Linked DNA regions of Nothobranchius furzeri. The protein of the gene in region 1 interacts with the protein of each later gene in a biochemical or structural test. Links are inferred from orthologs where the notes say so. Each region holds a gene or a part of one and is shown in the gene's direction. Other genes may lie near its edges. The genes, in order: ubiquitin-conjugating enzyme E2 E1, trim23, ubiquitin-protein ligase E3A, uba1, E3 ubiquitin-protein ligase RNF14, nedd4l and prkn.

What was found.
Region 2: the proteins of ubiquitin-conjugating enzyme E2 E1 (region 1) and trim23 form a complex in vitro, tested with the Homo sapiens proteins (4 studies listed by BioGRID, with this or other methods). The link is inferred for Nothobranchius furzeri from reciprocal best matches to the Homo sapiens genes UBE2E1 and TRIM23.
Region 3: the proteins of ubiquitin-conjugating enzyme E2 E1 (region 1) and ubiquitin-protein ligase E3A form a complex in vitro, tested with the Homo sapiens proteins (2 studies listed by BioGRID). The link is inferred for Nothobranchius furzeri from reciprocal best matches to the Homo sapiens genes UBE2E1 and UBE3A.
Region 4: of the proteins of ubiquitin-conjugating enzyme E2 E1 (region 1) and uba1, one has a biochemical effect on the other in vitro, tested with the Homo sapiens proteins (9 studies listed by BioGRID, with this or other methods). The link is inferred for Nothobranchius furzeri from reciprocal best matches to the Homo sapiens genes UBE2E1 and UBA1.
Region 5: the proteins of ubiquitin-conjugating enzyme E2 E1 (region 1) and E3 ubiquitin-protein ligase RNF14 form a complex in vitro, tested with the Homo sapiens proteins (3 studies listed by BioGRID, with this or other methods). The link is inferred for Nothobranchius furzeri from reciprocal best matches to the Homo sapiens genes UBE2E1 and RNF14.
Region 6: the proteins of ubiquitin-conjugating enzyme E2 E1 (region 1) and nedd4l form a complex in vitro, tested with the Homo sapiens proteins (2 studies listed by BioGRID). The link is inferred for Nothobranchius furzeri from reciprocal best matches to the Homo sapiens genes UBE2E1 and NEDD4L.
Region 7: the proteins of ubiquitin-conjugating enzyme E2 E1 (region 1) and prkn form a complex in vitro, tested with the Homo sapiens proteins (2 studies listed by BioGRID). The link is inferred for Nothobranchius furzeri from reciprocal best matches to the Homo sapiens genes UBE2E1 and PRKN.

What each region holds. Positions count from the first base shown.
Region 1 is NC_091745.1:63,675,274-63,679,810, forward strand, and holds the start of ubiquitin-conjugating enzyme E2 E1, read left to right. Parts: upstream 1-1,593; coding exon 1,594-1,748; intron 1,749-2,282; coding exon 2,283-2,333; intron 2,334-4,537. UniProt on the Homo sapiens protein: Accepts ubiquitin from the E1 complex and catalyzes its covalent attachment to other proteins. Catalyzes the covalent attachment of ISG15 to other proteins. Mediates the selective degradation of short-lived and abnormal proteins.
Region 2 is NC_091746.1:63,287,441-63,292,146, reverse strand, and holds the start of trim23 (E3 ubiquitin-protein ligase TRIM23), read left to right. Parts: upstream 1-1,778; 5' UTR 1,779-1,793; coding exon 1,794-1,925; intron 1,926-2,598; coding exon 2,599-2,761; intron 2,762-4,706. Other genes in the region: mzt2b (mitotic-spindle organizing protein 2), read right to left, coding at 740-897, 976-1,151.
Region 3 is NC_091743.1:81,623,886-81,627,811, forward strand, and holds part of ubiquitin-protein ligase E3A, read left to right. Parts: intron 1-241; coding exon 242-397; intron 398-476; coding exon 477-550; intron 551-630; coding exon 631-774; intron 775-3,926. UniProt on the Homo sapiens protein: E3 ubiquitin-protein ligase which accepts ubiquitin from an E2 ubiquitin-conjugating enzyme in the form of a thioester and transfers it to its substrates.
Region 4 is NC_091755.1:24,230,862-24,235,471, reverse strand, and holds the start of uba1 (ubiquitin-like modifier-activating enzyme 1), read left to right. Parts: upstream 1-1,707; 5' UTR 1,708-2,007; intron 2,008-2,045; exon of another isoform or gene 2,046-4,610. Other genes in the region: camkvl (caM kinase-like vesicle-associated, like), read left to right, coding at 1-345. UniProt on the Homo sapiens protein: Catalyzes the first step in ubiquitin conjugation to mark cellular proteins for degradation through the ubiquitin-proteasome system.
Region 5 is NC_091750.1:54,469,092-54,473,686, forward strand, and holds the start of E3 ubiquitin-protein ligase RNF14, read left to right. Parts: upstream 1-1,589; 5' UTR 1,590-1,722; intron 1,723-2,281; 5' UTR 2,282-2,289; coding exon 2,290-2,440; intron 2,441-2,539; coding exon 2,540-2,670; intron 2,671-2,772; coding exon 2,773-2,959; intron 2,960-3,233; coding exon 3,234-3,592; intron 3,593-3,699; coding exon 3,700-3,928; intron 3,929-4,015; coding exon 4,016-4,188; intron 4,189-4,595. UniProt on the Homo sapiens protein: E3 ubiquitin-protein ligase that plays a key role in the RNF14-RNF25 translation quality control pathway, a pathway that takes place when a ribosome has stalled during translation, and which promotes ubiquitination and degradation of translation factors on stalled ribosomes.
Region 6 is NC_091746.1:58,494,971-58,499,573, forward strand, and holds the start of nedd4l (E3 ubiquitin-protein ligase NEDD4-like), read left to right. Parts: upstream 1-1,618; 5' UTR 1,619-1,741; coding exon 1,742-2,806; intron 2,807-4,603. UniProt on the Homo sapiens protein: E3 ubiquitin-protein ligase that mediates the polyubiquitination of lysine and cysteine residues on target proteins and is thereby implicated in the regulation of various signaling pathways including autophagy, innate immunity or DNA repair.
Region 7 is NC_091752.1:62,532,718-62,536,643, forward strand, and holds part of prkn (E3 ubiquitin-protein ligase parkin), read left to right. Parts: intron 1-1,270; coding exon 1,271-1,354; intron 1,355-1,428; coding exon 1,429-1,544; intron 1,545-3,463; coding exon 3,464-3,600; intron 3,601-3,677; coding exon 3,678-3,739; intron 3,740-3,926. UniProt on the Homo sapiens protein: Functions within a multiprotein E3 ubiquitin ligase complex, catalyzing the covalent attachment of ubiquitin moieties onto substrate proteins. Substrates include SYT11 and VDAC1.

The sequences.
Region 1 (4,537 bases):
TCCTTCAATGTTTAGATTTTCAGATCAGATATGAATCATTTTTTAGAAGTTGAACTACTTTTTTTTATCTTTTGATTTATTTGCTGTCACCTTTAACAAGTGCACTGCAGTGCGTGACTTTTAGGCCACCTGTGCTGTCTGGGTGTCATCGGAGCACTGCTGTACAGCTCCTCTGGGAGACTAATCTTGTTTAAATTAAATGTACTTGATGTGAAGCTTTGACACACGCCGCGGACGGCCCAGTTTCCCCAGCAGGACCGGAGCTGTTCAGCCTCCCGCAGCCGCGGAAGGCTACTTCCGTTCCGCAGAGGACGACAGGCAGCAGGCAGCCTGACGGTGGCGGAGGTCCAGACACAAAGAGTGGGTAAGTTTCACGAGCGAGATGAATGGTTCCGTTCAAGCGTTTAGTTCGGCATTGTGAAAATCTGCGCTGATTCCCAACATGTTTGCGTTCCCAGCTGATGTTGATGCGCGGCGACAGAAACGAGAAAAAGAAAAACAAAACGCTCGAGGTCGAGTCAGCAGCAGCACGGGGGGAAGGGCTGCGTCTATGTGCTGGAGCGGTCCTCTTTTTCTCATTCTTGCTTCAAACCTTTAATTGTTACATTTATATGTGTCTTAATGCCAAAGGCAGCGGTTCACAACGAGAGCTGACAACACAGCCGTCGTCTAATTTCACGTTATTATTGTTTTATCCACAAAGACTTGAGGCCCGAGTCTTCGTTACCAGTTAAGTTTTTTATGAAGCGGGGAGGACTAATGCTGGATTACTGATAGTGCTCACGAAGAAAGGTGATTTGAAGAAACATATGGCGTGTATATACCATCAGACACGTTTTAATTTATAGCTTACGATACAAAATTACCATATTTAATGTTAACCACGAGCTAGCTAAGGCTAAAGACTGTTAACCGTAGCGGAAAGCGTTACCTAACGAAAAAAAAAACAGAAGGCGAATCGCTGTGAAATCTCGCGAGAATCCTATCTCATGTCTGCAACATGAGATCAAAACAAACAAGCTAGCTAACTGATGTGTAATGTTTTGTGTTTGCACCATGGTTTGCACATGATCACATCCTGGATTTAATTTATTCTTTCGGATGTAAATGTTTTCAATATCTTAATTTTTTCTAATTTTATTCAGACTTATATATATATATATATATATATATATATATATATATATATATATATATATATATATATATATATATATATATATATATATATATATATATTGCTGCTAGGCTATATCAAGGAAAGGTGGTGCATAAATGTTTAGAAAATTAACATTTTCAAATAAATAATTTCCACAAAAACCTTTTAAAAAATAAGACTGTTTTCCCCATTATTAAGCACTTGGTTTGTTCATTTTTATTCCAGCTTGTTTTGTTAATCCTGATAAAAACCAGATGTTTTGTTTTTGTCAACACTACACATTTGAAAATGTGTTCAGAAACATAAACCTCCCAAAAGGAAAATACTATTACCTACCTTTATTCACAAGTGCTCCACATTTTTGGGTTACTTTCACTTTTCAGATTTCCTCCCATTTCTCCTCAGGTTGCGGCTCTTCTCCAATCCTAACCGGTATGTCGGATGAGGATTCCCGTGCCAGCACCAGCTCATCCTCATCACCACCTTCCTCCAGCCAAAACAGACACAAGGATACAGCTTTCAAGAAGAAACGGGAGAACAAAACCAGCATGAGCAAGACCTCCAAGCTGCTTTCCACCAGCGCCAAAAGGTTAAAAGAAATCTGTCATACAGCAATGGGCAGATTATTGTTGCTCATTAGATTCATGTCTGTTTAAAACCCCTTAAGACAACAATGTTGTTTACATATAAATATGTAACTTTTAGTAGCTGCTGATGGCAGGATAAGCTCAGAAACATGAGTAAACGACAGTAGAATTTGTTTTCATGACTTCCCCTTGTGTATTTATTTAACAGTGAAAAAAACACATTGATGGTCAAAGAGGAACTAGTTTAATTTGTGCTTAGGCGGTTGCTTCTATAAGCCAGAGTAGTGTTGTAAACCATGTTTTTAAGGAAGTACCAGTTTCTTCTTCAGTAAAAAAAAAAAAAAAAAAAATCTTCACAGTTTCAGTCTCATTCAACATTCTTTTCTACAAAAACAGTCAAACAGCATTAAGGTGTGTAAGTTAGTTTTCTGATGCCATGTTAACTAGATCATATTTATTTTTAATCACTTTGTTTGATTCTGAGTAATTCCACCTCTGATCCTTCCATCAGTAATTGATTTTTGTAACATTTGCAGAATTCAAAAAGAGCTGGCTGAAATTACCCTGGACCCTCCGCCAAACTGCAGGTGAGTTTACGGTTTTATGGTTCTTTATGTACTCACCAGCACGACAGATCAGAGTTTTGTCCTGATATTGGCTGATCCAAACTTCCTAAATGTTGAAACAGGTAAAATCATTATTATAGGTCAGTTCACAGTTCCAATACCCACACTGCACCCTGTGTCTTCTGTGAAGTGCGCTTAGAGGAAGTGTGCAGTAAGGCTCTGTGTGCTGAATTGGGACAGTGGCCGTTGCATCATCGACCACTGTGCATGCAGGGATGCCGGTTGCTGTTTGTGCTACTTTTTAAAAAAGCTTTATTAACAATTTTTAAACAGTTGACACAATTTACATTCATTGCTGTTCACATTAAATTTTAATCTTAAACATTCAGTAATGATATTTATTCATATAAATATCATTAGTCGTCTTAAAATGAACTTCTTTTGTTTGAAAATACATATTTTCAAATAAGGCACTTGAGCCATTGTTCAGTCTTTTCAAAATGCCTTCACAGCAATGGGTTGTGGGTAATACCCTTTGCCCAAGTCCGCATCAAGTGTGCAAAAGGGGTGTGGTCAATTTCCGCACTTGAGGATTGGTACACCTTGTGCCCCTGGACAGGAATGCGCAATTGAAGGGCACAAGGGTGGAAGTGTGAGTATTGGTATTGAGCCTAACACAACAACACTGGTTGACTCCTGGTTTCACAAGAACATGTGTCTAGAATGAGGAGGCGGGGCCAAGCTGGTGAGGCTGTGTTGGGATATTCCACGTCCTACTGATTGTCCCTCACAGGGGCCAGTATTACCGTGTTTTCACTACAGGAGTTCAGGGACACTTCTGGGAGAGGGAAAATTCTATAGCTCTGTCCTATCAGCTGTTTCTCCAACCAATCAGCAGAACGTAACAACAAGTCCCGTCCAGCGGCACTACCGGGCCTTTTCCTCGTACTTGCTCCAATTCAGGTTCTAGGTTGGTTCCTGAAAAGCTCTCAAAAGTGGCCCTATTGAGTCGGCCTGGTGAACGTAACGAAGGTCCAGCAAAATGACCCAGATGTTCCAAAAAAATGAAATGGGCCTTCTGTGTTGCTTTTTCCTGAGTACCGTGGGAGAGTTGAATCCAGTGAAGAACTGAATTCCAACAGCAGAATAAAGCAGGTTTAGATGGCACCACCTACAGTAAAGGTAACTAATCAGGCTTCCCACTGTTATCAGATCTATTACCATGAAGCTTCGTTGCAATAAACAAAATTATGTGTTGTCTCAGTTTGAGTTACAAATAGTTTCTTTTTCCTGAATGGAAATGTCAAATACCAAAACATTCAGTTTAAATAAGCAGCTGTTCTTCCAAGAGGAACTAAAATATTAAAACAAATGCGTTTTCATCTGAAGATCTGTATTTACAGCTGTAACTGAAAGTTGAACTTATTTAAAAAAAAAAGCTTCCTTCCTGGTACTGAAACCAAATTTATACTTCTCCGTCAGCTCCACCAGGGAGAGAGACGCACGAATGGAGACGTTTTGCCCCCATACTTCTCCGTCTCCTGGGGAGTGTTACAAAGCAATTCCCCACCAGGACAATAGAGGGCGTAGCACTGTTCCGTGTTATCCGGTCCAAGATGGTGTTTATATTGTGTTTTTTGCATTTAAGAATGGCCAAAACACACACACAAATGCCCTGGGGCCTCATTTATCAAGCTTGCTTACGCACAAAACTGGGTTGGAAAACTGTGTAAGCAACTTTCAATGCAAACTTTGGGATTTATGAAAGAGAACGTAGCGGGAAAATGTGCGCAACTTTAAGTTGACTAAGGACCTGGCTTACGCACATTTTGGACATGGAGAGCACCTGCAGTGCTGCTGCTGAGAAGGGTTAAAATTATGAAATCCTGCAGCATTATCACTTGTACCGCTTCATTTTCACACAGAACAAGAACCCCCCCCCCCCCCCCACACACACACACACACACAGAGAGCCTGAAGCGCAGAATACGGAATGCAGAATATCATCGGGGGACAGATTGAGACAGAATGTCATGCGTAGGGCTGGGAAAAACGATTATTTTTGTAATCGATTAATCTAGCGATTATTTTTTCGATGCATCGATTTAATCTAATGATTAATTTGTTAATTTGATTAGATTAAATTATTGATTATTTCCCAATTATTTGACTTGTATAGCAGTTTCATTATTACTAATTTATGTATCTCAATGAAATAAATGCAA
Region 2 (4,706 bases), on another chromosome or scaffold:
GAGGAAGAACAAAAACACATTAAAATAGTTTTGAATGGAAATGTTAAACCACAACAAATTGAATTAGTTTTTTTAATTAACCATGACTTGTTTTCTTCTGTTATTTTAATGTAATCATAAATGGGATTAGAAACCCTAACTGGCTTTTGCTAAATTACACACTTCTAAGTACCATTGACTAACATAGCAGGCATTAGTGATGGTCGGGTGACTCATATGATGAAAATAATAATAATAATTTATACTTTTTTATCTTTCTGTTGGACATTCTCTGCATTTGACCCGTACCTGAGGCTTAGTGGGCTGAGATCGAACGGCTCACCTTTTGATCTACCCCCATTCCGTCATGGCCGCCCATATCTGCTTCTTGTTGCTGACTAGTTATTTATTGCGTATCTTCTGTTTTGACAAGTGAACCGATCAGCAGTGACAAAAATAAATATTTTATTACTGTAACTATTTTATCAAGTTGAAATGGGTACACTAGAAACTACTGATCACAAAACCATTTCACCCAATATAAATTGATGGTGGCTCAGGGGTTAGTTCACCCGGTAACTGGTGGGTCATCATCAGTGTGAATGGGTGAATTATTGACTGCAGTGTAACGCACTTTTGGAGTCCCTGACTTAGAAAAGCACAGTACAAGTGCGATTTTTAACTGCATCAGCAAGAGAATCCCTCCATGCTGGAGTAACACTTGAAGTTCAAAACTAAAGCCCAGTTTTTACACACTGACCTTTGACCTCGGTGGGTGCTGGGGTGGTGTTTGTTGTGTGGGAGACAACTGAAGCCTCTATGCAGCTGTCGGCTACTTTCTGTCCTGCACACATTGCCTTCAGGGTCTGGAAGACCGCTTGGGGAGCCACGTTCATTTTCAGGAGGTCCACTATGATCCTACAGGAGGGCAGAAACGAATCCTTTACTCATTCGCCGCGTGAAGAACCACATTTCTACCGGTCTCGGTTCACTCACTTAAAGACTTCTTGATCCACAGTGATGCCTGCAGCCTGAGTCAGTTCAAACAGCTCACTTTCTTCAGCACTCAGGATTTTCTTCTTCTTTATGGCATATTTCTGCACGTTTGCTGTGACCACCAGAGCAGGGAAGTCAGGAGCAGATGGCCCCGTCTGCTGTGTTGGCTGAGACATATCAAGTCCACCTGAGTGGTGAGAAAATGGCATTTATGCGCGAACATAAAACGTTAGCCGCGCAGAATAAACATATGGCGAAATTCAACCGCTCACTGAAAGGTAAGTAAACATAAAAACAGGTTATAAACAACAAAAAATACGTTTTTAATCAAACATGTGTTTATACCGTTAAAGCCGCAGCTTTTAGCGTGTAGAATCCCGCTTATATCCACAACTCCTCTCTGTAAACACGGCGCGTAGAAAATGCGTCATCATCACGGAACGTTCACGCAGCATGATGGGACATGTAGTTAGAAGCCTGTGGTTTGTTCTCGATAAATGTATTGAACGAGTAAATAAACATTAAAGTTGAGCCAGTTAAGCAAAGCATTAGATTTATATAACAAATAAAAAAAGCTGAAGCTGCTTGGTGGTCGTTTCAACCACGGACTTATATGGTTTAAAGGGTAAAAAGTAAAGACAATTAAAAGAATGAAATTACAGAGTCCTCTGACTCTGAAAGGCGCTATACAAATGCGGGTCATTTATCGGTTGTTTATCACTATGCGATTTATTTAGTGAACGTGGGTTACAAAATTACTACAAAAAGTATACCAAAATTGACACCGCGGAAGTTGTTGAGGGATTATCCTCTCACGCATGCTCAGTTCTCTCGCTCGCCGTCGTCGAAGAATGGCCGCCGCTGCAGCAGGAATAAACAAGCAGGGCGCAGGAGCGACGATGGAGACCTGTCTCCGGCACGGGAGGGGAGCCAGTGGAAGCACCGTGAAGGTCGTAAACATGTCACAAATTTCCGCAGCTAGGTCGTTATTGCTGTGAACATATTATTTGGTTAGCTTTGGTGATAAATGTCCGCTGGTTCAGACTTGCTTGATGTATTTCTAGTTGGAAGCTAAGGCTGCTGCGTTGGCGTTGGTCGCAGTGGGTGCCAAATACGGATTTTGACAGTGTAATAGCTGTGCAAACGCGTTTCATCATGTTATTGTAGCCGTTTATGCATTCCAGAAGACTCGTTTGTCATTAAGAAGCGTTTGCTGCGAGCTAGCACCAGCTCGAAAACCGCCGGTTGGCATTAGCACAAGTTTCTGATCGCTGCAGCCTTATAAACAAAAACAAGCAATCAGCTAGTCAGTGCATTATAAGGGTGTACAGTAGCAGCTGTTGGAAGAATTAATTTTAGTTTACAGAATAAAATGTGGGCAAAGCGTCTCGTGATGTTTACCTTGGGAGTCACTATGTCAAAGTGACTGCAACACCCTGGGATTTTTTTATCTCATCACTATTTTTCAAGTACCTCTGCTTTTCTGCATCAAGTCAAACCTAAAGTTACAAATTAAAATTCCTTACAAGTGTGCGTGATCCTGAGTGTGGAAGTCACCTTGCAGCAGATACAGACAGACAGACACATAGACAGGCAGTGTTCAAGCTGTGCTGTCACTTGCAGGTGCTGGAGTGTGGTGTGTGTGAGGACGTCTTCTCCCTCCAAGGTGACAAGGTCCCCCGTCTTCTGCTCTGTGGCCACACCGTGTGCCACGACTGTCTCACCCGGTTGCCCCTCCACGGCAGAGCGGTCCGCTGCCCCTTTGACCGACAGGTCACCGAGCTGGGTGAGTGAAGGACATAACATAATTTGGCCTTCGAAGAAGGATGCAGATTTGCAACATTTGGTAGAATTTTATTGAACTGAACAAATTCTGAGGATGCCTGGGAAAATGACAAAAATATTTCTTCAATCACTAAAAACAAACAACTATTCATCTCAGAAGTAACATAACATCCAAGTGGTATTCCTGACTGAAATTATCTTGGAGTGGCAAAGCACAGAGAATACACAGTCATCATAAGATGCAGGGTGTACTTTACTGGTTCTTGGACGGCAGATGCAAATATGCTGTTAGGCTGCAGAGAAAAGAGCTCACAATCGAAAACAGTCTAATGTAGGGAAATAAAACATGAACACATTTCAGATCCAGACCTTCCTTCGTAGTAGGTTTGATTTGACTTTGTCCTAAAACTTTGTGTAGTCTTGCAGTATTTGTTTACATCAACATCTCCGTTATTTAAAGTCATGCATTGGTGCTGACACTGGAAAGTGAAACTCAATTCAGTTTATTTATAAAGCGTCAAATAACGACAAGTCGTCTTGGTGCACTTCACAAAGTAAAACATAGGGATGTCCCATTCCGATATCGGAGGTCATTCCATATCAGCCCAAAAACACTGTATCGGATTATATCGGATGGCATCAAAAGTCTCCTATAAAAGCGGTTCGTTAAGGTTCACATTTTTGCAACTGTAGCTGCCAGATGAGCAGCTGATGGCAATGACTCTTAATTGGCTCACAGATTTTATATAAGCCACACCCTTCCAGAGAAAATGGCTTGGGTTAAGTTGTTTGTAGAGAAGATAACACTTTTGAAGTGTTGAAATTATGTCTTTGGTCTAAATTCACCTCAGCTGCACAGTGCCGACTGCATCCCCACGTAAGTTTTGCTGTATTGACGCTTTTGTTTGGGTTATTACTTCGACACTCTATAGTCATTGTTTGTTATTCTTGTCCATCCCCACTCAAATCTACAGATAAAGCAGCTTTAAGGACTTATTGGTTTGTTTAGCATCCTTGGCCAGTGGAGCAAGGTAAATGTGAGAATATAATTCATTTCTGTTATGACATCGAAGTTGTGTTCACCTTTTATTTATGCTTTGTATATCTCTAAACAGTTTTCACAGTGCAACTCATGGAGTGAAGTCCAAGGCATTGGACCAGAGAAACGAATAAAAGTTTATGCACCCGTCGAGGCTCTCCGTTCTTTTCTTCATGGTGCCAGGGGCAGCTACAGCAACCAATGGTTACAAAAGAAATTTTTCATACTTATTGTTATTGGCTGTTGTTCTCCAGTTGAGTAATATCAGTTGATCAAGCCTTTCATACATTCCACATTAGGAAACGGGTAAAAGTATGATTTGTGCTGATATCGTATCAGATTGATATCTGTAACGGTCAACACTGAAGGCTGCAACATCGATATCGTATCGGAAGTGAAAAAGTCGTATTGGGACATCGCTAAAAATATCCAATTGACGTGCATGAGTTTTAGACCAATAATGAAATTCAGCAAGACAATAATTTTGTCCATTTAGCGTCTCTCCATGTGTGTGGAAATCATGACTGTACGGTGCTGGAAAATCTTGAAAACTCTGAAGGTGGTTGAATTGAATCTGGACAAAGGTGTAAATGTTCTCTGTTGCACTTGTAGATTTTTCCTTCAGTACCTTCTAAGCAGAGCTCCACTCGATTCAGCCCAGTTTCACTAGTAACGGGTACCAGGTCGCTGCTCCTTTATTTGTCTGCTTCAAAGTGGTTCCAAGTGTACCAAACTGGGACGAAAAACGCAACGTCAGAGGACTGCCAGTCACTGATTGGCTGGGGGAGGAAGCATTGGATGCTCTGGAGTGTTTCACCTTCCTGCTCACAGAGTGAAGGACAAAGGGAGTTTAACCCTTTTCCCAACATTGCTACTCAGCCAAAAGCGGCTCGGAACAGCCAGGGTT
Region 3 (3,926 bases), on another chromosome or scaffold:
AGTCCTTTACAAAAGCGTGTGTTTTGTTGTTCGTGCTACATGAACTGATTTAACCCAGAAGAACGTGATGGACCGCCAAAGAGTTCTCTGTGATCAGATGCAGCAGAACTCGATACGTCAATATCGCAGGGTTAGAAATAAATCACAGAACAGGTTTTTTTTTGCCTTCGTGTTGCCCTAATATTCAGATAGACTTTGATTTGGTGTGTGTGTGTGTGCGCGCGCGTGTGTGTGTTCACAGGAGTTTGTTGCACAGTATTCAGAGTATGTTTTAAACAAAAGTGCGGAGAAACAGTTCAAAGCGTTCAGGAGAGGCTTCCACATGGTCACCAACGAGTCGCCGCTCAAGTACCTGTTCAGACCCGAGGAGATCGAGCTGCTGATCTGTGGGAGCAGGGTGAGACCCGGACCTCTCAGGTCACCACTTGTCCTTGTTGACTTGTGGACTCTAAAGTCCAGATCTGGCTCTCTTCCAGAACCTGGACTTTTATGCACTTGAGGAGACGACGGAGTACGACGGCGGTTATAACAAAGATTCTAGAATCATCAAGTAAGAATGGGAATGTTCCTGAACAGCTGGCACATGTATGTAGGGAGTGGGCTTGTGACGATTAACCTTTGACCCCACAGGGAGTTCTGGGAGACGTTGCACTCATTCAGTGAGGAGCAGAAGCGCCTCTTCCTGCAGTTCACCACCGGCACCGACAGAGCGCCTGTGGGCGGCCTCGGCAAGCTGAAGATGATCATCGCCAAGAACGGTCCTGACACAGACAGGTGAGCTGAAAACTCCACAAGTTGGATGAGAACATTTTAAAAGTACGACAGTTTTTGGTCAAGTCCAGGGGCCTCGTTTATAAAACTTTGTGTAGATTCACTACTGATGTTCTCCTTAGTAGCGATAAAATATTAATGATGATAATAATAATAATGAAGCCAGTTGTCGGGGTCTCCAAAGTGTTTTACACTACACACTGATGGTGACCACTAGGGCTGCAGCTATTGAATATTTTGGTATTCTAATGGTATGCTGCTAAAAATATGAAAATAGAATAACACATTTGTAGGGATGTAAAAAAAATATCGATATGGCAATATATCGTGATATTTTTTCCAGCAATATTGTATCGATATTCAAAAGCCGTGTATCGGAAATATCGATATGGTAATATATCGTGATATTTTTTCCTGCGATTATTACATCGATATTCAAAAGCCGTGTACCTAATTCTTGAAAGAATTTACATGCAAACATTTGTGTATTTTCATTTCATTTTGTGCAATTCAGTCGCCACCCGCTAGTTGGCAGCAGTGTGCAACGGGTTTTGTTTCCACCATTGAAATGTAAATCCCTCCATCATAGTTCAGATACCTCATGTTAAACACGTTACGTATCACTTTGGACTGTTTATTGAACATTCTTACAATAAATTCAGTAAAAAAAAAATAGCTTGTAACGTCTGACTGAATGTATTGTGATATATCGTATCATCTCCCCTGTATCGTACAGCTCAGTAATATGTATTAAATAGGTGCTGTCTAGTTCCCTCTTTCCCATCTGATGTTAACCCTTTAAGCACCAAAGTCGCAATATTGCGACAAGCGTCATTACTGACTTTAACGAGCCACAGCTACAAAAATGATCCCTCATGAAGTTACTACTTTACGCCAGAAGATAGTGGAGATGTGTAACTTCAGCCTAAGAAACACTTAGGGTGTGTTTATATTGAAAATTTCGTAGTTTTTAGAGTTTGAAAACCGCCTCCCGCCGAGATGTTCCCGGTCGGGGAGAAGACGAGCGCAGCACGAAGAGGGCGAATATTAGAGGGATAAAACTTAAAGTTGTTTGACTCTCTGAAGAAGAAATTCACTCATCCAGCCGAAAAAATTGATGCTGCTGCAGCGCGCAGCATCAGACAGCTGGTGCTGCACGAGTAAGGTGTGTGTAGCTTACACACTCCAAACATTGGGTTTGAAGTGTGTTTCACCGTTTCTGGGGCATGGTGGATGTAGAAATAATGGTAAAAACACAGTTAATGTGACAGACGTAGCGGCAATGTAAAAAAAAGCTGTAAAAATCAGCAGATGTGTTATGTATGGACGTCAAAGTGTGCCACATAATCATAAAAATATTCTTTCCCTTGGATCAAATGATTGTTATATTCAAGGGAAGGGCATTCCTGAAGCTGTACAAGCCTAAATACACCTGTCAAATATGGCTTAAAAAGTCTTTTTCTGGAGTGAGACCAAAATAAATATCAAAAACTACAATAAATAAGGTAAACAATGTAAATAAATATTCTAAAGAGCTTTATATTTGTACATATCAAATAAAAATGTCAAAATATAGTAAAAATACCAAAATAACATGTAAAAATAAGAAGGGACACCATTACTTCATCCATTTCAGCACGACTACAAGGGAGGTCCATTGCTTCCTCCCCAATGGTCTCATTCCGCCGCAATCTCCGCAATCTGGCACCCAACTACTTCTCCTCTCTTGTTGCCTCCACTCTTCCATCTCCCAGCACATTCTCTGCTTATGAAGTGAATGAAGCCACCGAGTCACTCTGCTCCACACTCTGCTCTTGTCTTAATAACTTGTGCCCTTTAGCCACTAGACCTGCTAGATCCTCTCAGTCGCACCCTTGGCTAAATGATACCCTCCGGTCTCTACGCACCAATCTTAGAGCTGCGGAACGGAAATGGCGCAAAACAAAAGATCCTGGTGATCTATTGGAATTTCAGGAATTACTGTCCTAATTCTCTGCCAGCATCACTGATGCAAAGAAAGCTTTCTACACTGACAAAATTCTCAGCTCTACTGACTCTCAGAAACATTCACAGAATTCAACATTCAAATCTCTGCTCAGCCCTCCATCTCCACCTCCTACCAACAATCTATCAGCTGACACCTTTGCCTCATTCTTCACTGACAAAGTGGCAGCTATAAGCTCCTCTTCTCTTTGCCATATACACCACCTCACTGGGTGAGATCATTCGATCACATGGCTTCTCCTACCACTGCTATGCAGACGACACCCAGCTCTATCTGTCATTTCCACTGGACGACCACACTGTCTCTGCACGAATATCAAACTGTCTCTCTGACATATCAAAATGGATGAAATCCCACCATCTCCAACTCAACCTCTCTAAAACTGAACTACTTGTCATCCCAGCAAAACCATCAATACAGCACAGTATCTCAATCCAAAATGACTTCCTATCTCTGGCTCCTTCAAAGGCAGTTCGAAATCTGGGTGTTGTGATTGATGAACACCTGACCTTTAAAGATCACCTTTCTCAGTGGCCTAGTGGTAGAGTGTCCGCCCTGAGTCTGGGAGATCAGGGGTTCGATTCCTGGTCGGGTCATACCAAAGACTTTGAAAAAATGGGACCCAATGCCTCCCTGCTTGACACTCAGCATTAAGGGGTTGGATTGGGGGGTTAAACCCCACACCACTGCTGACATCCACAAATTGTTGGTGGGGATTTTTCTTCCTCTTTTAGAGTTTAGTCATTCACAACCGTCGTGTTTTTTCTGAACCCCACTTAATCGTGAGAGTGCTACACGCTAGCTTAGCATTAGCCAGTCTGCCCGTGGTTAAACTCTGGATCTTAAACTTTGGAGCATTTCTGCCTTTGCGGTCTGTTTGCTTGGTGTTATGGTTCTGAACGACTCATTAAAGGAAGTAAAATGCTGCGATGGACTCTTTATTCACTTCACACACACACACACACACACACACACACACACACACACACACACACACACACACACACACACACACACACACACACACACACACACACACACACACACTTCACTGTCATATTGAATTGTTGGTAATTGAAAAGGTAGCTTAAGATAGTTTTAGAGCAGACTGCTTCTAATTCACCATTAGCATTGTTAGCGCATTGTTAGC
Region 4 (4,610 bases), on another chromosome or scaffold:
AGTGCAACAAGCGACTGGAAAATGGACAGCGTCATTGAGCAAATTGAAAAGCAAATGGTTGCAGTGCTCGAAAAGATTGAGGGAGACATGCCTTCACTGCTCGAGCAAATAAGTGACTGTCCTACTGAACCAGCACGTTCTAGGAGCACGCACGCCTCTCCTGCCACCGTCCGTGCACGTCCAACTCAACATTCCTCAGCCTCGACCACCCCTCCACCGCTTCCCACTTCTCCAAGACCTGCGCTCCCATCTCTCCCTCACCTTGCCATCCCTCCTCCGTCTTATCCACCACCATCTCCACCCACACAGGCCTCACCCCAGTCTGTCAGGGGCAGACTGGGGTGAGGGCAAGGATGGACAGAGAGCTGCTGCTCATCCAAGCCAATCACCAAAAGCTGGCATGAACTGGGGGCTTTAAAGATAATGTGCATGATGTTATACACAATTACAAAGCACCTAAAAATGGATTTATTATTTATTTGGGAGTGTTAAAGGATTCCCTCTCACTGAGAAATGGAACGTACTTGATAACCAAAAGTATCTAAACAATGTTATTATGGTTGTAAATGCAGATCAAATTACTGTTTTGGTAGCCTCCCAAATGAAGGTTAGGGTATAATATCTCCCCGCCTGTCAACGGCAAAAAACGAGAACTCCAAATGTTTTCACTTCTTAAATCCAGATTGTGTGCCTCAGTATCAGCCTGAGGCACACAATCATCACAGCCCCATTCAAACATGAAGACATTGTATTATATCAATCTACAAAAGTAAGAAGAGTGTGAATCAAATTAACAAGCAACTGCAAGCGATAACACCTGATCAAATCCTATAAACTGTAAATACGTATAAAAAGTTAGTTTCCTTATGATTACCTTGTTTCCAAGATGTTAACCTCTTCTTGTTGAAATTATCATTTTAAGCAGCTTATCCCATATCCATGTTTTTCATTTCCTTTTGTTACGTAGCTCGTCATTTTCCTGTAGGGCTTAGTCACACAGTTGTCTCAAAGTACCCAAAACGCAGCTGATCAAACGATACACTACCTGATAGAAAGTTGCCACATTATGTACATCAGGTTGATGAAACTGAGTTTTGGGAGATCCTATCTTGTTAGAAAGCTGTGTGAAGCATTTTTAGATGCAAGATTGCATATAAAGGTTTTGCAATCACACAGGCACGTGTTTGGTTTTAAAGTTTTAGAAAAAATAAAAAGCTTGCAAACTTAGTTTTCACTTTTCTCTAGTTTTGTCTATGTATACACTTTGGTAATGTCATTTTAAAAAGAAATTTTTATTTGCTCCTTTTAAATTTTGTTTTAAAAGTCCCTCTTTGTTCGACGACGCTTTCTGATGTGCATGCTATTCCGGACTAGAAATCATCCCCTGTGTAAACTGTGCTCTGTTTGCAAGACTTTCAAATAAAGTAATTAAATTAAGCTAGTTTATTTATTTATTTGTTTATTTATTTATTTATTTAGCAGCTAACCACTGGCAACATCTGAATTTCTTATCTACATTCATTTTCACCAATCTTACTACATGTCCCATGAAGCTTTGCGTCTGTCTGGTTTCGATTAGTCCATTCCTGTGAATAGGCGATTATGCCGAAACAGTTTTGAATCAAACACTTTACGCCTGAATAAATATATTAGCTGTGTAAATGAAATATTTGTGCTCTTGTTTGTATGGAACATTGAACACAATTCGACGGATGAGCTAATATACTTTCTTTGGGCGAACCCTCTGGATACGAGTATTGGATCTGCCTGTAACGTGCACATGTTGCTGCTTTGCTTTGCTTTCAACTGAAATAGAATGAGGTGAAGCGGTCTCGGAGCAGCCGGGCAGAGAGACGTCCAGTGGAAAAAAGCTCACTCAGAGCCCGCCAGCCTGATATACTTTTCAGTTTGCCGTCAGCGGCTGTGTTGATTTGTCATATTGTTTGTTTGGTTTCTCGCTTAGACAGATTTTAACATTACAAATCAGGCCGAGTAATATCGGATGTGGTAAGTTCTGCACACTTGTGTAAGCTCTCGCCTCGATCATGTTAGCCACAGCTAGTTAGCTAATGTTAGCTGGGTTGCTAACATAGCGGCACAAGAAGGGGAAAAGTCGTTGGGTGCTTGGATAGCCTGAGAGCTAACTGTACACAAGCTAACAACTACGCAGTCTTTTGATCTGTGTTATTGATAGATGTTAACGTCAATTACCATTTGCGAATTGAATCTTTTCATCAACCAGCGCAGTTGTCCGTTGCTATCAAGTAACTGTCACGTTACTGTTAACGTAAAATTAGCAGTTACACGTTTCATGTGCACGAGACACACAATATTATGTGACACATTGTAGCCGCACAGCTATAGTTTCTGCCAACACTGGATGCATTCTATTTTGAGAGACATACTCTGGCTAACTTGTCCTCAGAACACGTTATTTCATGGGGTTTTTTGAGATTACGTTGCGATGGCACGAATCTCGGTGGTAATCATCATTAGTGGTCAATTCAGCGTGTCAGGTTAGGCAGCCGTTAATCCTGACCTAATTGTGCTGGGTGCATCAGAATGGTGGGATTTTGTTTTACCCCATGATTTTGTAACCGGAACATGGAAATTGGGGATCCCCGCGACACGTGTACCCGAGATTATGCGGCCCAGTCTTTTTCTGGGCCTTTGTCATTTGCTGGGCACCCCCTCCCCCAATACTCATCTGCAAGGAATGCTCACCCATACCCTCAGCCAAAGTGCCCTGACGCTCAGCATCACTTCAGCTTTCAACCAGCGCACCTAATGTTGTGTCCGTTTCATTCATGGCTGCAGCACTGTCAGAGTTGGTAATAATTATTCAACTCTTCAGTAAGATATATGGTCTATTCTTGCTCACAAATGTCCACGCGGACGTGTTTTCATAGAAGTTGTATTTTTAAATGATTTATTTACATTTTCATAATATTTTGGCATACAAAGTGTTAGCTCTGTGCAGGCCTGCTTCTTAAGTACGATGACATTACAATGTAGTGTCACAGAAACAAAGATGAGATTTTGCTGGATTTTGATCCAGTCTTTTGCGCTGCCTTGGATATGTTTTATTGTACTTTTGTCTTCAACTGCGTTAGATATTCTATAGTGTTTCGTTTCTAGAATTATGAACTAGTTTTTACAATTGTTAGAGCTTCTGTAGTTCATTGTACAGTGTTATACAAGGCACGCATGCATCCTCTAGTAGCAGGGGCGGGCGAATGTAGAAAGAGCCAATCAAATAAGTGTAACAGAGCATTTTGTGGCAAGTCAATGTGTCATATAATAGTTAAACTTTTAACATTCATTTACCCTAGCTATGGAAAAGTTGACGTTAGTTTCACTTGATCCACAATCAGCATTTCAGATGTGTATGTTTAGACAAATAATATCTCGTTTATGTGTACTGAGCTGTCTCTACCTGGGTGTTCTTTACATTTAGAATGAATCAAGTAGGATTGTATTGTCTTTAGAAAAACAATAGTAGCCTACTGAAAAGCTCTTGTGTTAGCATTTAAACTAATGTACATATGTGCAGCTTATCAGTTAAGACTTAATTAAAGGACTTCGTGGAATACTGGAATATAGAGAGAGCTCTTACTGAGGTGTACTCTAGGGCTGTCGCAGTTGAGGAATTCCCCCTGCGGTGATTCAGGGTTGCTTAATATTGCGGTGTGCGATATTATTGCAGCCCTTTTTTATTGCAGTACTTTTTTTTATTGCAGTACTATCTAAACATAATGTTTACACATTTAAAAAAGGTTAAAAATTGCCGTGCCTTCTTTAATAACACTTTACCGAATGCAGATCAAAGGGCAGTAACAACACAGATCGCAGTAACGTTTGTTTCTCCGACAGTCGGAGTCCGACTGAACTTAAAAACAACAAAATTCAGGAGAAGGTTAAACTTTTAAATGCAAATTTGGCTGCAGCATCTAACAAATAAGAAACAAGTCCCCATTTTGTTTAGTTGTTTAAAATCAAGCATAAAAAATTACATGTACCGGGCGCGGGCACACTATCATTTCACTTTCACACACACGAATGATGGTGATTTATAGCTCGGTCACGTCCTTGTTACCCACAAGGAAAACCAGCATGTTAACCATATACGGTTTGAGAGAGGATCTGAGAGGGGTGGCAACATTTCCAGCAACACTGAAAACCCTCTCGGATGGTGCGCTCGTTGCACTAACACACACGTACTTGCGTGCGACTCTGGCGAGCAAAGGGAATCTCTCCCGGTTGTTGCTCCACCATGTCAGGGGGGTTTCTTTAGGGTGAATGCATTCCTCCTGCAGGTAGCGAGTGAGCTCCAGCTCGGCTCAAACTCTCTTCGGGACGGTTGCAGAAGCAGTGCTTCCGGGACTTCAGGAGGTCTCCGAGCGTTTATTTATTTATTTATTGCCGCTGGAGGCAGCTCTGTCTCGGCCAAGGACTCTGGCTGCGCAGCAGCTGACGTACTGAAAACCAAAGTGCTCCCAAAGGAGTGAAGTAACGTTTCGTTTTGATACCAGTGCAGCCATCCTTCTCAACATGCATCATTGAGTTGAACCAAGTTCAGTAATCGCGGTGGCCCATGATGCAGCGCGGTG
Region 5 (4,595 bases), on another chromosome or scaffold:
GATCTTGTCTAAAATGGAGCTGAATTGTTATAATTAATCAAACATAAAAAAACTACACTTGTTGGAAAAACTAACAACAGTGTGTGAATCTCCAGTACTTACTCAGTGTTTGCAATGATTACTCAGCAGAGTTGATGCTGCTTTAGTTATCAGCCTTGTGATGAATAGCAGTAAAGTTTGCACCACTGCTAAGACATTTCTCCAAACAATTAGCGTAAAGTACAAAACACGGTAGATAACCTGCAAAAGCAAGTCAGTCGCTCAAAATGGGCTCATTCTTCAAAAGCGAGTTCCTTCATCAAAATGGATCATTTGTTCTTCAAAGCAAGTATTTATGTCAATGACAGTGTCGGTGTCGTCACAATGAAAAGTTATGACAGCAGCATCTTTGAACTATCAAGTCAAACGGTTTGAACACGTTTTCATTGTGACATGACTCTGGAAGTGCTCCCCAAAGTCATGTAGAGTCAAATCAGCGTTGTATAGGATGCATGGCATTTAGAAAACTAGAATTAAATCAAAATCAGCACAATGAATATGCACTTTATACTGTACATTTGCTACTGTTCACAGCATTTGGAAAAACAACATTTACAACAAATATAAACTCCCTTTGGCTCAGTAAACCTTACTGCAGTAGTTTTGAATCTAAAAATCCTGTAAAACAGATGGTGCTGCAAATCAGACATGGACAACTAGACGCTCCCGTTAGTCTGGCCACATATTTTCATCTACATCACAGCAAATATCAGCTCTGTCAACGCACAGAGGGAAGTATCTTCCTGAATCCACGCTCTGCATGACTCTGCTGTGATGTCATCACAAGCTGCATCCATGGCTGGTGTCACCTGGGTATGTGGACGCTGATCATACACCTTCCACCTCCAGGAAGAGAAAAACTCCTCAGTTGGATTTAGGAACTGAGAGTAGGGGGAAGATAATAAATATGATAACAATTCTGCTCCATTTTAGACAAGATCACACTGATGTTGGGTTATTGCTGTCAGTGTGTGAGGCTGAGTTTATGAATGCAGCAGATCAAAGACTGAGCTCTGCCTCCACTTACTGAGCAAGCTGAATCATAGCAACACACACACACACACACACACACACACACACACACACACACACACACACACACACACACACACACACACACACACACACACACACACACACACACACACAAATCAGAGGAGTTTAGATGTGTCCTGACCGGGATTTGAACCCCAATCTCAGTCCCAGGGCGGCCACTCTACCACTTATGAAGCCACCAATATTTTTCAACAAATGGGCATCATTTAATTCATTTTCAACAACATTTCAATGAATGAGATTAATTTTAAAAACTACATATTGTCTCTTTAATAGATAATGATAATCAGAACAGTAACTTTATCTAACTGGCTACTCCCACATATGGGCTTTCTTTCTTTTTTTGTGATTTTTGCTACCACACGAACGTTCCCGTCAGAGAGATGTAGAGAGAAGTTTAGTTTTCCCGCTTTCACTGCAATAATTCGCAGTGGCACAATATCTCCACTGGGGGGCGCTGTCAGTGGATTCGCATACCAATATTCACCGGCAGAGAAGGCGGTGTTTGGATGTGTCTCGGATGTAGCCGGATTGAGTGCCGGGCTGTGTGTAAGGAGTTGACGTCGTGACTCGTCATGACAGGAACCAATCAGGGCAAAAGTCACTTGTGCACTTGGGACAGAAAAGGTAATAAAATGAAATAAATTTTCAACATTTGTTGTACATGTCTTGATGTTGTTTGTGTTATTGTATCTTAATCACACAACAGAAAGAAAAGTTAAAAATGTGTTGCTACCACAGAGCTACTGTTTACATCAGCTAGCTGTTAGCTAGCTACAAATACCGGTGTTCTTTACCCTCGTTAGGCAATCAACCGAGTTTGTTAGCTGCTTCCATCTTTAGACATGTTATGTATTTAATCGATGCTGGTTTATAATCTAGCAACCATGGCGTCTGGCATGGTAAAAGTGGTGGTTTATATTGTGTTGGGTGCTAACTTATAAGCTACAACTTAGCTTAGCATTAGCTAAGTTCCTACAAAGTATAAATATTTGCGCATTTAATTATAAATTAGCTCCATCTGGTTATTTAATTTTGATGTCTTTAGGAAAGTTTTGAAATGTTTAATTCAGTCGACACACAAACGCGTTAGTTTGTGTTTTTCTTCACTAAGTGGTATAGTGTTAGCAGTAGTAGTACTCGTATTTGTTTCTGTTGTAAATTTTAGATGTTGTTGTTGTTCCAGGAATGTAAATGTCTGAGGATAAGGAAGCTCAGGAGGATGAGCTGCTTGCATTAGCAAGTATCTATGATGAGGAGGAGTTCCGCCGTGCGGAGTCTGCACAAGGAGGAGAGATCCAACTCTGTCTGGAGCTTCCTCCTGGTTTTAAAGTTCTTGTAAAAGGTATCGGTGATCAAGATGTGCAACTGGTGCACAGCTTCCCTACAGGCTGTGCATTTAGATTCACTACTCTGCTTTAGCCTCCCTTTTTCTTTGTTGCAGGCGAGAAGACAACTGAACACAATGTGTGTTTCTTACCTCCTTTGGTGCTCAATTTTGAGCTTCCTTCAGATTACCCTTCCACACGTCCACCATCCTTCACTCTCAGCTCTAAATGGATGACCAAATCCCAGGTAAGAGTCGTACTAACTCATCCAGGCCTTTTGTAAATGCCACATCTAGCATCTTCCTCTGGCATCCTCTTCAATTCTTCCTCTGCTCTTTGATTCTTCCAGCTGAGCTCCCTATGCCGACATCTGGATGAGTTGTGGGAGGAAAACCAGGGATCAGAGATTCTTTTCACATGGATCCAGTTTCTCAAAGAGGAGCCCCTAGAATTTCTGGGCATCCAGTCTCCCGTGGAAGTCATCAGGAACAGCAAGGCTGCTGGCGAACGAAGAAAAACTGACCTTGCAAGCAAAGGTATGATGAGGCATTTTACCAAAGCTTGCTAGTAGAAAATGTGGTTTAACACTGCAATTGCTGTTATTGTTTTTCAAATAAATTCTGTATTTTATTATTGTAAGTACTTCTCATGCCCTCTTTTGGCTTTCATTCCTGACAAAATTAGGTTGCATCATAATACTTTCCATCAGAACATCTCTTTTCTTACCCAGGTGTCTCTTCACACCACTGTTAACTTTTCAAATCCTTGAATGCACATTGGAACTTCTCTTTTTGGTCTTTTCTCCTTCAGAGAAACCAGAGGAGAAGAAAACAGAAGTAATAAAGGAGACATCTGAGCAGCACGGTTCACTGTTGTCTCATCCAGACCAGCGAGCTGTCGTGTTGATGGACCCTCATTCCGACCCCCTACGTCAGCTCCTGGACTTTGACGAAACTCAGAGACAACGGGTGTTTGACGGAAAGGTGTTCAGCTGCGGGATCTGCTTCGCGGATAAGCTGGGCTCCACCTGCCTCTGCTTTAAGGAGTGCCTGCACGTTTACTGCAAGGACTGCATGAGAGAATACTTTGAGATTCAAATACGAGAAGGCAATGTTCAGTGCCTTAACTGCCCCGAGCCCAAATGCACGTCAGTCGCTACGCCATCACAGGTCAGGCACTTCTACAGGAATGTGGCTTTTAACAAGTTCAGCTTCAGCCCAACCGTATTGATAATTGTGTTGTTTTCTACTTTATCTGCCCTGATCTCATCTCTCAGGTGAAACAGCTGGTAGACGAGGAGCTGTTTGCCCGCTACGACCGTCTGCTGCTCCAGTCCACTTTGGACCTCATGGCTGATGTGGTCTACTGTCCCCGCCGTTCGTGTGGAACTGCTGTAATGGTGGAACCAGACACAACAATGGGCATTTGCTCAGCTTGCCAGTATGCTTTTTGCACGTTGTGTAAGCTGGGCTATCACGGTGTCTCTCACTGCAAAATCACTGCAGGTAACGGCTCAGACAAACTCTCAGAAGCTCATAAGGAGTAAGGAAACGGTTTCACTTGCTACGTTTTCTTTCTGCCTTGTTCTCCAGATGACCTGCGCAGCCTGAGAGATGAGTACCTGTCAGCCACGCCTGAGGGGAAGAAGTTCATGGAGCAGCGTTTTGGGAAACAGGTGGTGCAGAAAGCGGTGGAGGAATCTTTTAGCCGGGATTGGCTGAAGGAGAACTGTAAATGCTGTCCTAACTGTGGAACAAACATTCAGGTAGACCAGCGCCCCCTAATGGAGAAACTAAAGCTCATATTTAGAAACACCAGGGCTCACCCCAAAATCCCTCTACCTCCGCTCCGCTCCGCCCCCGCCTTCCGCAGCCGCTCGCTTCCGAACTCAATTTTTACTGGTACCCGCTCTACTCCGGTGCGGAGACCTGAGGTGCGCAGACAGGCATGCATGGGATTTTCGAGATCTTGCGATACAGTCCGAGCAATAAACGCGGAAATTAGATCCAAACACCCGTTGTGTGGGAGAAGCATCGAAATGAACTGTTTAATCTGCCCATCATTTGTGTTGAGAGATCAGCAGTGTTTGGATCAACAAAGTGTGACTACTTTGATAGTGGAAACTGTATTTATGGCTTATTTTTGTGCATTTAAAGTTCAACCGCCATTGAT
Region 6 (4,603 bases), on another chromosome or scaffold:
TAGGTTGTACAATACAACACTATCTTGTTTGAGTCAGACATGTTCTGTCTTTTTGCAGACTGGGCTTTCTGCCATCAGACCACACATTGGCACTTTGTTTCTGTTATACAGAACATTCTCCATAACATTTCACGCACACATTTATTGACCGTGCCTAACACTGTAGGCAGTGTTCATCACCAAATTTAACAGCCTGCCAAGCCACAGTTTGTTGTACGACTGTCATTCTTTTTCCTTCTTTACATTTGTTCCCCTGTTCAATATGATACACCTTCAGTGGATCGTTGCGGCTTGTTTTAAGGCCAAGATGAAGCACTGTGGGCTGTACCACAACCAGTCACAGAAGTTAAAACGTGGCCGCCACTTTTCACCCTTAAATGTCAAATTATGATACAGGCTTTGGCTGCTCTTTGCTCGCTCTCCCACTACTGCTGCCCTCAGGCAAAGTAAATGCTGATGAATCCTGTTGCGATCAAGCAGTGTAATCATAAAGTATTTTGGTTTGGAAAAATGTCTCTTTCTAGTGTACTTTCTACTCTTGCCAGATGATTTCATACAAGTTCTTAAGTATTACTTCAGTCCTTAATCCATTTGGTGTTGCCGACAGGGATCACAGCTGAATTTTATCACGGAAACAGAGTGACCTATAAAACAGCCATCCAGTTAAGTGTTTGGCAGTGATTTTGGAGGCAGTGTGTCTATTCTGTGTCGAGTAGATGCATCTTTCCCTGGAGACGACTGTGCTGTTTGCCCCTATCAAAGCTGCAATCTGTCAGATAGTCTGCTCTTTGCTCTGCTGGAGCCTTTAGTCGCGTCCATTTTTAGTAATAACTTCCCAAACAAATCCTTTTCAGTTCCATGGCTGCAGGAAGGCTGTAACTTACCATTTTTTCTTGTTGACTTTTTGATGTGTATTTGTCTAAAGGCCATTTAGTCTGTCCAATGGTTGGAAAACCATTTTTATCTTCTGTACCTCATTGAAAGAAGAGGCTATAGATTGTGTGTTTGTTTGTGGACATGTTTCTTTGCTTTTCTGACCCTCTCTCTATTTTCCTCCCGGTGATGACATCAGAGAGCATTGTTTAAGAAAAATGTTCAAATCTAGTAAAGATCTTCAGATACATGTAGGCAGAGTAACGAGAGACGTCAGAGATGAGAATGAAGGAAAGGGTGGACCGTAGTTAGCAAGAGATGACTCAGGGATGAGGGATTTGGTTGACACTTGAGGGCAACGTGGGGTTGTAACCAGAGGTGGTGGGGCCATTTTCAGTCACATGACTGACAGGCAACCCACTGTCACCTCGGTAACCAGGAGCAGGCAGGCTCTTATCCAGTCACGTCAGGAATGCTGGCTGTCACTCGACTAGGCTATTTCTGCTGTCTGTTGCTAGTACATGGTGTTACCAAGAGTATATTTTTTATAAACTTTTTCTTTTGTCTTGTCTTCACCTCCTCTTGAAGTATGTAGTGTTAAGTTGTCAGCCGGTTTACAGTTACTGTAAGGTTTCTGTGGTGTGACTTCTTTCTCTGTACGGTTTGATGTGGGAAGAAAAGTTGTGGAAAAGACTTGAAGAGGGTGGGAAGAGAAGGGGGAGAGAGGGGGGTGAGTGGTGGAAGAAAAACGGGAATCACTCATTGAGCCAGCCAAAGGAGAGGTGGGCGACACGAGGAGAGGAGAGAAACAGCAGCCAGTCTGAGAGAAAGTGAGAGTGAACGGGAGCTGAAGGGACGGGAGGCAAAAATGGCACAGCGTCTGCGTTTGTACTTTGGATCTGGCCGCAGCAACACAGCCCCGGAGATTCTGGAGACGGGCTCAGAGGAGCAGCGGGGAGAAGGTGAAGTGCTTGGAGAGCTTTGCGTGCACCCACCTCCATTAAGGCCTTCTCAGGAGTTGGCTGTGCAACACGGCCCGCCAATGATTTCTGGTTCGTGCTCGGAGCTTTCACTTAAACGCAGCTCCTCTATGTTCATACCCCAGCTCGCCGCCTACGCTGAGCCACGTCCCACCAAAAGCTCGTCCATGCACATTTCCCTCCAGCGCTCAAATGGATCAAGTAATCGGGAGCCTGGTGGCCATGCCGATGATGTCCCACCACCTTGTTATTCTCCAGGACCTGCACCTGCTTATATTGAACCTATAGTGAACTTTCCACAGCAGTCGCCGCCTCCATACTACAGCTCAGATTCCATAAACTCGCAATGTTGTCTGACAGAGCCAAACCTCCCGAAACACACAGTCTTCAGCATTGGTTCCAGCAGACGTAAGACACTCAGAGGAGGTCAACCAGGTATCACTGTTGGTGCCGTTTCTTTACGGAGCTATTCTACTGATAGTTCAGACATCCAGCGTTTTAGGATTCTTCCCTATGGTGGTGATGGCTGGTCTGTCCAGCAAAACAACCTGGACCCATGCTTTGGTGATAACGCAACACAAAGACTAGTTTTTCAGCTTCAAAAGAACCAGAACCATACCCAGAGAAGACGGCTATCTCCTTTATCCCAGGAGGAATGTACAGACTCTGGACGTGGCAGCCCAAGTGGTGTCCGTACGATGCATTATCCAAAAATAAGACTGCAGCGAAGCTCTTCCCATCAGAGGCTGTTATTGGAGAGTAAGCAGAAAAATGGCACAGACTTCCAGACTGTACAGGACAATCAAACCAGTCTGGAGCCGGATTCAAAAAAAGCCTCTAATTGTTGTACTTTTAAAATCACTGGGGAAGCCCCCAGAAGGCAGCAACATTTCAAGATCTACTTTACCCCTGGTGGAGATTCTGATAGTGACCTAACAACACTCAACCCAAAGGTAATGATTGTGAGAAAGTTTTGTTAGACTCTGGCCCTTTTCGAAGAAGTAATGGTATAGTAAAGTTTTTTGCTGCGTATTTTGCTTTGTGGATACATGCAGAGAGATCTCTGGAGTACAAGAACAGTGCGGTCACATTCTGGGAAGTGAAAGCACAGACACAGTTGCTGTGCCAGATCACACTCACATTGGTTTTCTTTCACTTCTTCACCACAGGTATTTGACGCCTTATGCACATCATCCCAGTAATTTATGAAAGAATAACAGGAAAAGGCATGTGGATGAAAGGATAATTTGTCCCCCGACACTTGTTGGGTTCTGTGCCACAGAAATGTGACACCCAAGTTTTGATAATACGTCCCAACTGCAGTCAGAGGTCTTTAAGAGTTGGCCCTTTCTATCTTTAGTCTCTTTCAAATGTGGTTGTTGATTTTAAGAGTAGGCAGACGGCCGTTCTTGTGTTCTTGCCTGGTATGGATGCGTAAATTTTGCAGCTGCTGTGCAAGTGATTAAAACTAAGATGTAATTACAGCCTAAGCACAGATCAGGCTAGTTCACTTTTAATTTTGCCCCCCCTGTTATGTAAAACTCAATCTGTGGGGCAAAACTGTTCTAGAGCTTTAAGTTTATTCATTGTGTCATTTTAGCAGCCTCTTTTTTGTTTACAAACTGCTACTGTATGCATTTCACATATACTGCTTTTGTTATAAGAAACACAAAGAGATGTGTGATGCTAGAGCAACAAGGATATCCTCATTTAGACTATAAAGACAGGTCTTCCCCATCTAATCGCCCGGAGCTGGAGTTGCCCCCCCCTTAAATCCTGGGCATTGGATAACAATAGTGTGCACTTGTTTGCCTGTGTGTGCCAGACAGACTTGCTGCAGACAGCTACGCCAGAAAGCCATATGGTCATTACAGCCCTGCCTTGATGTCCCAAACAAAACCTTGATCTTACTGAAACAACAAAAACCACGAAGGTTACGTTAGGTGGAGGCAGGGAGCGCACGGAGGGGTTGGGGGTTTGCTTTTATTTTTGTCCTGTGGCATGTGGCCGGGGTTCAGATCACTGTTGTTGTGAGGGGATTGTCCCTGTCGGCTCTGATCTGTCTGAGTGGAATGCCATTGTAATTCAGTTGTGTCAGCACAGAGACCATTAAGTAGGTGGGTCAGGGTTTGACACCTCAATAACAAACTGGACATCTTCTCGCTTGGATCGTAATTGTTTTGTTAACGAAAAAGTTAAAAACCTTTATTCATTGCAAAGTAGAGGCCGACCGATATGTTCAAGTTTTTCTATATCTACCATCGGTCGCAAAAGTTTTTAAAAGCCAATTTAAAAATAGGCAGCACGTCCTCTGCTGCCCGCGGATAAACGAAGGAAGCGACACCACCAACGGCGTCAGCCGGATGATGCTTGCAGCTGCAAAAGAAACGTTGCAGGTAAATAAACCTTTTCCGTGTTTTAAAAAAAACTGAAAGATGGAATTTGAAACTCAACACAGCAAGAACACACCAAAGATATATGTATATATATGTATATGTGTATATATATATATGTGTATATATATATATATATATATATATATATATATGTATATGTGTATATATATATGTATATGTGTATGTATACGTATATGTGTATGTATGTATACGTATATGTGTATGTATGTATACGTATATATGTATACATGTATACGTATATATGTATGTATATGTATATATGTATGTATATGTACATGTATGTATGTATGTATGTATATGTATATGTGTATATATGATAATCAGCTTTAGATA
Region 7 (3,926 bases), on another chromosome or scaffold:
ATGGTCCTCAGATCCTTCAGATGATCCCCCCCCCCCCCCCCCCTGGAATTCTCTGCCACAAGTCATCCGGAACTCTGACTCCCTTCCCACCTTCAAATCCAAACTAACAACTCACCTTTTCCAGACTTCATTTTGTTTATGAGATAGCTTGTTATCTGATTTTTGTTTTGTTTTCCTAGGGTTTTTATGAGTGATTTGTTGCTGCTTTTAACTTTTAGCTTGACTTTTATCATTCTCGTACAGTGACCTTGAGTTCCCTGAAAGGCGCTTTAAATAAAATGTATTATTATCATTATTACTATTATTGTCATTAAAACCCTAATGTACTCATCAGCCTTTGAATGAATTGTTTCTTATGCTGCATCGTCTCCACTGTAATCTGGGATGTAATTGTTCAACCTTTATTCTGCCTTTTCCTTTTAGCTCTAAATTATAATTTTATCTGTGTATATTTTAATTTGTGTTCTCCTGTTTATGTCGTCGTGCCATTTCATGCTAATTATAAAGCACATTTAATTGCCCTGTGTTTGAAATGTGCTCTACAAATACAGCTGCCTTGCTTTGCCTTGTCTTGCCTTTACAATAATGAATGATTCAAAAATAACAGTTTGATCTTGAAATGCCTTATTTCAGATCTTAAATACACCAAATGAGTCTACTTGATGATTTAATAATGATTTCGTAATTAGACTCATTTGGTGTATTTAAGATCTGAAATAAAGCATTTCAAGAATAAACATTCATGCTGATTCATTCATTACTGTAAAGCAGTCGAGACATTATTAAATCACTTTAGATAAAACATTCATTGTAGATGAAATGGAATATAATATATAATATAATCAACCCGTAAAGTGAAGTAAATAATTTTATGAGACTGAGTAAGATTCTTTATTAAAGTTATAAAAGAGTCTCGTCTTGTGCCTGCAGATACTGAAACAGGTTGTCATGGCTTCGACCTCTTGGTGGCAAGGTCACAAACAATGTTTTCTGGTTTGGAGACCAAACAGTTAACCTGTGGCACACTGATGTAGCAGGCTGTGGACATTGTCTTAACCTTTGTATTCCAACTTTCTCCAACTCTACAGAGGATTATTACCAGTACTACATGTGTAGCATAGTTAGTATTACCAATACTACATGTGCAGTTTACCAGAGGATTACCAGTACTGCACTTGTAGTACAGATGAGTATTACCAGCACTACATGTGTAGTACAGAGATGTGTTATCAGTGGTGGTGGTGTTACTCTCCTGTCCTCTTTTTTTCAGGGTCCATCCTGCTGGGACGATGTCCTTCTTCCAGGAAGAATCCATGGCCTCTGTCAGGCCGACGGTTGTCATGGTAACACAGCGGTAAGGGGTGGAGCTTAATCAATGTTTAATTGAGAACTGACTGAACCTTACTCTCACTGGGAAATTGGGTTCAGGAATTCTACATGAAATGTGCGTCTCACCCAACATCAGAGGATGACACGTCTGTGACCCTTGACCTCATTATGATGAATATCAGAAACGTCCCATGCATCGCCTGTACCGACATAACGTAAAACACACACACACACACACACACACACACACACACACACACACACACACACACACACACACACACACACACACACACACACCAAACAAACTTTCCATTCCTGGCACTTTGCTACCAGGACTGTAGTTACTTCTGCTACTCCCCTACAATAACCCCCACCCCCCACCCCAACACACGTTTGAAACATTCAGGCACACACACCCTGCAGGCATGATTCTCGTCCCTGCATGGTTAAAGTTCACGTTAATGCACATGGAAATGAAGATTAACTAGAGGTAGAGGAGCAATGAATGTGTTTGACCTTCTATCATCGGGGCAACATGCCAGTGCCCAGTGTTTGGCAGCATTACGTCACGCTGCGAGAAGGGGGGAGGTTAGGAGCCAAGATGCAGAACCAGGGAGACACGAGGCAGGAGGTGGAATAAACATAAAAAAAAAACCTTTATTAGGAGTGATTGTCCCAAAGTGAATCCAATAGTGCAAGAAGCCGAAACCAAAAATCCAAAAATCTTAGTATGAAAGCCAAGAGACCTAGAGACAAAGTGACCCCTTAAAGAGCAGACCTGGAGATATCCAAAAACCAAGAGATTGCCAAAAATCCTAGAGACCGGGGGGGGGGGGGGGGGGGGGGGGGCAAGACGACGCTGACACAAACAATGGACCGACAAACACAGAAAGACAGGACAGGGTTTTATACTCAGGGGCTGGGTGATTAGGAGGATTGGGTACAGGTGATATTAATAAACAAGAGGAGGAGCAGAATAGGGCAGGTGAGGAAAGCCCCAACTAAGGCCCTGTCCACACGTAGCCGGGGATCTGCCAAAATGTAGATATTTTCCTACGTTTTGGCCTGTCATCCACACGAAAACGGATCTTTTTAAAAACTCCGGCCAAAGTGAAGATCTGCGTTTTCTCCGTTTTGGGTGTCGGCGTGTGAACAGACAAAACCGGAGTTTTAAGGTCCGCAACGTCACTTTCCGCAACAAAAAAATGCTGACATCACGTGTGCGACCTGTGTTTACACTAGCCGACAGCATGGATGCCCTCAGAGCTGCGCTCGCTTTATCAATTGTCCAAGCGCTTTCTGCTTGTTTGTTTTTGCAAGCGGAATTACTGCTCCTTGCGGAAGACCACAGACGAAGGACGAGGTTAAGAACGGGGGAAGTACTGCCACCTACAGGTCTGGCATGTCCCTAACAACGTATTTATCTGGGTACGTGTGGACAGTTTTTTTAAACGAGGTGGTGTGGATGCACGTTTTGGAGGGGTGGATATTCGTTTTCAAAAAAACCCCGGCTACGTGTGGACTAGGTCTTAAACCTGTTAAACAAAGCTACTGAACTAAATAACTTAACACTGTAGAAATAAGACACTGGAGAACTAAAGATAATAAAATTAATGACCTAGGAGTAATAGAACCAAAAACACTGGAAGACAGGGGAGGATGATGCCTAAAGGGAGAAACGAACTAGACAATCTACAATAACAGAAAACTAATGATAAGAAAAGTGACTAAGGGAAACATGAGGGAAACCTGGAGAGAACCTGGAGGGGGCTGGGGACCACAGGGAGGCACCTGAGGGGGGATGCAGACAAGGAGACACACGAGGAACACAAGGAGACACATAAGGGGAACCTAGAGAGGGATGGAGAATGCAAGGAGACACTTGAGGGAGACGCAGAATGCAGACCATGACACATTAATGCGTTAGCGTAGCACCACACAGAGCACATATTAGACTCAACCCATACTTATATTTCATCAGATCTTGCCTTTCTTAATATTATGGTAAACCTATTTGGATTAACATGGAATAAACACCCTGTCATTATAAATGAATGCAGAACGCCTGAGAAAGGGTGCGTCTGAAGCATGTGGGGCTCTAACCACCACCATGTCCCTGGTGTTGTCTCAGGGAGGTGGTCCTGGTCTTCCAGTGTGCAGCGCGCCATGTGATCTGTCTGGACTGTTTCTGCCGCTACTGTCAGACTCGCCTGAATGAGCGACAGTTTGTGTATCACTCTGTGATTGGGTATTCTCTTCCATGTGCAGGTGAGGGAATGGAGACTCGGGTGACGATGTGAACAGGTATGAATGGGACCGTAACGGTATGATCTTTGTGTTTCCAGCTGGCTGTGAGGACTCTCTGGTAAAAGAGTTGCATCATTTCAGGATTCTGGGAGATGAACAGGTGACGTACCGTCACACAGGATGTGGGTGCTTGGTTCAGACACTGTGTAGCATGATGTGTCCATGTAAACTACACACTTAGAAGGAATGGGTTTTATATAGCACTTCTTTCTGAAAGAGCCCCATAGTACTTCACAACAGCAATCGTACAGACACCACAGAGAACGGCAACCATAAAATACATATAA